Linked DNA regions of Nothobranchius furzeri. The protein of the gene in region 1 interacts with the protein of each later gene in a pairwise test. Links are inferred from orthologs where the notes say so. Each region holds a gene or a part of one and is shown in the gene's direction. Other genes may lie near its edges.

Region 1 (3,249 bases):
ACCTGGTTTGTGTTTTGGTTTGCATTCCATATTAGATCAGGGAAAAGCATAGAGGAGTTTAAACATTACTGTTGGAAGATGATTTAAAAAACAACTATGGTTACATCATTTGTGTTAAGGTTGTGAAAAATAGACAGAAGCCAACATGGCAGAAAAAGGGAAAAAAAAGAAAAAGATCCCTTATGCATTTTTTCTTTCACTTCAGAGATCCTGACCCTGAAAGAAGTCTTCCAGATAGCCAGTGATGGTGAGTTCATCTGTTTGTGTCTTCTCACTCTCCCAGAAGTCCCAGAGGTCATCTCTTCTTTGACTGATCCAACACGGCAACCTCAGTTTATGTTAAACATAGTCCCACTTAGTGTTTCCTTTAAAGGTGTGGAACACTGAAAACCATTTTTAATGGTTATTTGTCATTATAATGCAGGCTGAACATGAAATTAGTCCCCTACACCTATCTCCTGCTTTGGCTTCTGGTAGAAAACAGACGGTGAAACTCTAGGATTAGAAAATCCTGACAGATCTACGTCACACTGTCACTAAACATTCATGGACACTTCCATCTAACACAATTACTTATTCACACAGGGCAATGAAGGTTTGGATTTTGTTCTCTCCCTAAATAATAAAAACCATCATTTCAAAACTGCATTTTGTGTTTACTTGTGTTATCTTTGACTAATGGTTAAATGTGTTTGATGATCAGAAACATTTTGTGTGACAAACATGCAAAAGAATAAGAAATCAGGAAGGGGGCAAATAGTTTTTCACACCACTGTAGATCCTGCTGTGTTCAGCTCAGGTGATGTGGCTCACTTCTAGTTCCTGAAAAGGGCACACAGGTGCTTTTTTCCTTAGAGTAAGACTTCCAAGGTATTAATTCCTTCTAGAGACCACTGCAAATGTATAAAATAAATCAGTGTTCCACACCTTTGATAAATGGATGAAATGTTACTTTAGAATTATTTAACTATGTATTATTCAACATTTTCCTCACAGGAATTACTTTATACAATATAGTTTAAACAACTTTCACCAGCTGAGGTCATCCTGCTCTTGTTTAAACATGTCTGTGGGATTCTCCCAATTATCCCTTTATGGAGTAATTGCGTTCACGTTTATGGAGCCTAAAGTCATGACTTTAATCTAAAAGGTAAAAGTGGAAATGAAAGTGTTTACTTTTTTACTGCAGATCATGACACAGCCATTAACCGATACAGTCGCCTGTCTAAGAGGAAGGACAACGAAAAGGTGGGGAAGTTGGATTTATAATTTATTTAAATAAAAAAAACATATATAAATGTGTTCTCCCTGACGTTTTCATTTAAATAAGTGATGTTTTTACACACGTTGTCAGAATTTAACACAAAACATCTTTTTAAGCATGTTTAAAGAATAAAAATAAACTTTTATTTGAATTTAAAGTTATTTTTATAAAATTCAAAGAAAAATTTTACTATTATTTGCCAATAGAACCCATTTCTATGTGTTTGTGAATTATCCAACCTACCCTTCAATGTTACCGTATACCATCGTGTTGCTTCCACTCAAATTCAGTTTCTGCCTAACAAGTTCTTTTAGATAGTTTTTATAAAAACCTTCCAACACAGACGTAAAACCTACATTTCAAAGGGATTAAAGGAGGGAAGTGATGAGGGGTTCCTGACCTTCCCACGTTTGATTCAAGGTTCAGGTTTCTCCCAAGGTTCAGCTACCTGAAAGCAACATGATTATCGTTACTAAACAAGATTATCTCAGCAAATAATAATGTTATCCGTCTTCCTGAAATATGAGGACCATGCTGTTGTTGCAGGTGCGGTCGGAGTTGGTGGAGGACCTCTACACCTCCCGCAAGAAACAGCACCAGACCATGATGCACTACTTCTGTGCTCTGAACACGCTGCAGTACAAGAAGAAGACGGCGCTGCTGGAGCCGCTGCTGGGCTACATGCAGGCTCAGGTACACACACACACACACACTCATTTAAACCGGAGAAGTCAGAAAAAACAACCAGTTTTGAAACCATAATTCAACACGAGTGTTTATTTACCTCCCTATGAAACTTTTTTTTCGCAAAAGAGTGAAATTTCATCCTGATTCCTGTGTATGTGATTATATATACCGGTAATAAGGCCACAACCCATAGGGAGAGCTCACTTGCGGGGCGGAATGAATAATCTGCCTACTGGCGTGTCTTTAATCTGTGCAGATCAGTTTCTTTAAGCTGGGCTCAGAAAATCTCACCCAGCAGTGGGAGGACTTCCTGGGAACGATAGGAACCAGCGTCCAGAAGTAGGCGTCCAACTGACCTTTAACCTCTCAGAAAAGTTTCTTATAAAAACCAAAGTGTCAGAAATAAATATGTGTGTGTGTAGTGTACGTCGGGAGATGGAGGAAGAAGTGGGCCAGATGCAGCAGACCATCCAGCAGATGGAAAGGTCATGTGATCCTCTGTATACACCATGCGACCCTGACCCCGCCCACTCACCTGTTGTCCGCAGCCTAACTAGGAAGCAGGGATATCTCTACATTCGCAAGTGAGTGAGCTGCAAAATGTTTTTTTTTGTCTATTTAAACCTTGTTAAATATGAATTGATAAAAATTTGATCGTGTGATAAAGTGTATTTGTACATTTATTTAAGAGTCTTTTAAAGCAACAGTTTGTTAGTATTTGGAGACTTTAGATCCTGTTCTGTGCAGGATCGCAGTTTTATTTCTGATTTCATTATTGTCATTTTTCTGCTATAGATAAGAACTCTTTCATTTCTTAAATGTCTCTTATAATTTTTTAAATAATTCTGTCAATAACAGACAAATCAGACCAATGATATTAAAGGATTTTAGTTCTGTCTTTGTGAACGATTTATTTACAAGTCTAACTGTGTTGTGGCTCTTGGGTGGCAGTAAGACCGGCCTGGTGTCGTCATCCTGGGAACGTCAATACTTCTTCACTCAGGGAGGGAACCTGATGCAGCAGGGTCGAGGCGAGGTTGCGGGGGGACTGGTCACAGACCTCGACAACTGCTCGGTCATGGCCGTCGACTCAGATGACCGCCGGTTCTGCTTTCAGGTCACTTCCTTTGATGGCAAAAAGTGAGTTTTCTTGGTGTCTTCTGTTGCCTTTGAGGTTTTGGATTTCTGGGGTTTGATCTTTTCTCGTTGCTTTGGATCAGAGTGGTGACTCTGCAGGCGGAGAGCAGGAGGGAATGTGAGGAGGTGAGATGTTTCGCTGTTGTCATTGTCTCTGTGTT
Region 2 (3,654 bases), on another chromosome or scaffold:
CCTGTCCCGGCGCCGGACCTGTTTCTTACCCGGTGCTGGCGCACACACTTCAGTGAGACGGCAGTATTGCACTAGGTTCCTACTGGGAGCCGAGTTGTTGCCAGGTTAATGTCCGTAGCTTCTGTCCTCTTCCTGCTGCCAGGAAACCACGTCCAGTTTGAGCTTCAGACCCTCGGCTGATTCGTTTGTAAGGAAATGACATCAGTGAGAAGTTAACCAACCTTCTCCGCCTTTTTGTCTTTTCTCCACAGCTGAAACTAGAAGATCGATCAATCGTCATCAGAGACATTGTGAGACGGAACAACTCGTGTGTAAGTGAAGTCTGACAGTCTTTGATGTTACTGAAAAATCACTAATCTTTCACTATGATGTCATCGATTCACATTGCTATTGATCATTGTGTGTGCGTGCGTGCGTGTGTGTGTGTGTGTTGTATTTCAGGACAACCAGTGTGGTATTGTGACCAACATTGACATTGAATGTGCCGTGAAGCTGGTGGGAACCAGCTGTGTTCTGTATCCAGTGAACAGCAGAGACCTGCAGCACATCTGGGTGAGACACACGCACGCACACACACACGCACGTGCGCGCACGCACGCACTGTCCTGCAGGCTCATGAATAACCTGGTGAAACTAACATGATCTTTATTTGTTTTTAGTCTTTTATGTACGGAGACTACATAGCCTATGACTTCTGGCTGGGCAAAGTGTACGACCTGACCAATCACATCATCCTCAAGCTGTCTAACGGAGCCAGGTGTGTGTGTGTGTGTGTGTGTGTGTCAGAGCGTTAGAGCATGCCAGGTCAGACTCACCATCTGCCCCCTGTCCAGGTGCTCCATGAGTGTGGAAGACGGTGCCAAGCTTTACGATGTCTGTCCACACGTCAGTGACTCGGTACGTAGCCTGAAGCTCCCGTCTTCTACTGACGTCCAGGTCTCTTTGGAGTACTTTCTCTGCTCTGTGGGGAGCAACCTGATTTAGGACGACGGATTATTTTCAGCTTCATGGTGGTGTAAACTGTAATTTTTCATTTAGCATCGAAAAATAAGTTTTTGTTAGAAGTTGTTTAGTTGGTTCTTCCTGGAAGGAGACCTGTTCTTCACTTCAGGGGAGAACAAAGCCGGAGATATTTGGATCTAAGATGTCGGTCTAAGGTTAAAGTGGTGCTCAGAACCATCCTTGACTATTCTGCTGTGGAACCATGAAGAGCTGGTCTGAGTTGTGTCTGTGCTGTTTTTATCTTTAGGGTCTGTTCTTTGACGAGGCGTACGGTTTTTACCCGGGCCAGGTCCTGATCGGTCCCGCCAAAGTCTTCTCTAATGTCCAGTGGCTGTCGGGGGTCAAACCCGTCCTGAGCAGGAAATGCAAGTTCAGAGTTGTGGTGGAGGAGGTAAATCCGCACTCATGTAACCTGACAACTCTTACTTTAACATACGTCTCCTTTTCCTCCCTGTTCAGCTTCCAGGTAGCGCCGGTTCTTATGTTTTTAATGCTGACTTGGAGACTTGTGCTCCCCCCCCCCCCCCCCCAGGTGCAGGTGGTGGAGTTAAAAGTCACCTGGATCACAAAGAGCTACTCCCCAAAAGGCTCAGATGGTGTTTACCCACCTCCCTCCACCATCGCGCAGGAAGACCTGCAGCGGTCAGTCCACTCGGTCTCATTCGGCATCCGCTTCATCAGAGTCGGACCTTTGTGGGTCCAGGCCAGCCTACTGAATGTGATGTTTGCTTCTAGGGTGAGACGTCTGGGCTACTACGACCACACGCAGAGGCAGCTGGGGGAAAGGGCCCTCTACATCTTTCCAGCCAAAGGCGACGTCACGCGCATCATCTGCGACGGACCTGAGGGTGCTCATGTTCCGCTGGAGGACCCCGTTGCTAGAAAGGTGCTGCTGACACATTTTAGATTTTTAAATATTTGTGTTCAAGATGTGGAACAGTCTGGGTACCGAATTCGGTACTTTTTAAGGTACCGACCGAATTCCATAGTACCGACCGAGCACCGATTCACGTCGTTTCAAACGGTGCCTCGTTTCGGTACCCGTCCTTCATAACGAGAACTTGCCTAGACAGCTGCGCATGCGCAAGAGCGTTATGTCATCGGTCGCTGCGAGCCAGTTGTAAACGGAGCAGCATGGTAGAAAGAACGCACGCTAACGCTTGGGTCCACTTCACTAAATGTGATGGGTAACTGGGTGATGATGAAACCAGCGACAACGATCTAAGTGAGACATCCTCATCTTAATCTGCTCCGGTAGGTAAATAAAATGTTTAAGATAGCGTTAGCTTGATATGTTAGCTTCCGTTTCACTAATGGTGCGTTCGCTTTCTCCTCGGAACTCCGATTTTTCGACTAGAACATGAACGCGCTCTAAAGTTTGGCTTCACTTTACTAAATGCGACGGGTGATTGGGTGAAGATGAAACCAGCGACAACGATCTAAGTGTGAGGCATCATCGTTTTAATCTGCTCCAGCAGTTAAATAAACTGTTTAAGATAACGTTAGCTTGATATGTTAGCTTCCATTGCCACCATTGTTATCAGCTAATGGTGCGTTCGCTTTCTCCTCGGAAATTCTAACTTCCCAGTAGGAAAAATCAAATGAAAAAAGACGGCAAAAGGAATGAAGATACACAGTAAATTTAGTTCACAGTAAAGATGTTTGCTTCAGTTTAATTATCAGCTTGTAAAACTACAAGGACAATGTTAAAATACAAACAGTTGAATGTTATTTATCGTGATATTTATCAAATATGGTTATATATTGAGAAAAATATATATTTAATTATAAAAGAGAATTAAAATGATAAACACTCAAAAGTATCTAAAATTGGTACCGTTAAGTACCGGTATCGATTCCTAGGTACCTGGAATTAGTACCGGATCGATTCAAATGTCAAAGGTACCCATCCCTAGGAACAGAAGCACGTCGATGATTTAACAATGAGACCTGGGTCCGTTTGGGTTTACAGGCTAATTTACTCTTTGTGTTTTCTGCAGCTTAAAAGGATGTTCAAGAAGGATTCTGGGAAGAAGACAGAAAACGCCGACTCAGAAGGTGTTTACAATCAGATCATGAAAGCGCTGTAGTTTTTGTTTTGTCCTCCTAACACCAGCAGCTCGTTCCTCACACACACTCGGCCGTTACAGAGGGGTGTGTGTGAAAGTTTAGCTGCAGAGTAGAGACACGTTTCCTGTCCTTATGCTGACTTTAGTGTTTGTATTTCCTTCTAATTTAAATTTTAACTGGATGAAGCAAATTCAGCAGAGCACAAGTCTGATCAGACCGACTCGTCTCAGCCCAACGGCCCGGTGAGCCCCGCTCAGAACCCGCCGGACTCTCAGAACACCAGTGATGCCGCGCACGGGGAGCAGGACGCCGATGACGAGGCTGGAGAGGACACGGACGACACCAGGTCTGTGGGGACCACTTTAAATATGGAGTCCAGTTTAGTCTGGTTTAAAAGATCTGAGCATAGGAAGCTCCTAACGTGGGGGGTGTGACCTTTTCTAACATTAAACATCAGTTATAAAGAAAAACGATGTGTGTGTGTGTGTGTGTGTGTCTGAATCTTTCTGCAGCTCTCTGACGTCCTCAGCCAGCTCCACGGCATCCTCTCAGAGCGGCGGTCTGGGAACAAACCGCAAAAAG

What was found. The genes of interacting proteins can lie anywhere in the genome.
Region 2: the proteins of appl1 (region 1) and ube2o interact in binary tests that used the Homo sapiens proteins (3 or more experiments, as listed by UniProt). The two-hybrid records come from large-scale screens. The link is inferred for Nothobranchius furzeri from reciprocal best matches to the Homo sapiens genes APPL1 and UBE2O.

Annotation. Positions count from the first base shown.
Region 1 is NC_091743.1:68,844,731-68,847,979, forward strand, and holds part of appl1 (DCC-interacting protein 13-alpha), read left to right. Parts: intron 1-205; coding exon 206-247; intron 248-1,189; coding exon 1,190-1,248; intron 1,249-1,810; coding exon 1,811-1,957; intron 1,958-2,207; coding exon 2,208-2,290; intron 2,291-2,373; coding exon 2,374-2,535; intron 2,536-2,902; coding exon 2,903-3,091; intron 3,092-3,171; coding exon 3,172-3,214; intron 3,215-3,249. UniProt on the Homo sapiens protein: Multifunctional adapter protein that binds to various membrane receptors, nuclear factors and signaling proteins to regulate many processes, such as cell proliferation, immune response, endosomal trafficking and cell metabolism.
Region 2 is NC_091747.1:74,405,764-74,409,417, reverse strand, and holds part of ube2o ((E3-independent) E2 ubiquitin-conjugating enzyme), read left to right. Parts: intron 1-251; coding exon 252-311; intron 312-441; coding exon 442-552; intron 553-659; coding exon 660-757; intron 758-833; coding exon 834-897; intron 898-1,249; coding exon 1,250-1,393; intron 1,394-1,534; coding exon 1,535-1,644; intron 1,645-1,737; coding exon 1,738-1,888; intron 1,889-3,002; coding exon 3,003-3,060; intron 3,061-3,258; coding exon 3,259-3,418; intron 3,419-3,584; coding exon 3,585-3,654. UniProt on the Homo sapiens protein: E2/E3 hybrid ubiquitin-protein ligase that displays both E2 and E3 ligase activities and mediates monoubiquitination of target proteins. Negatively regulates TRAF6-mediated NF-kappa-B activation independently of its E2 activity.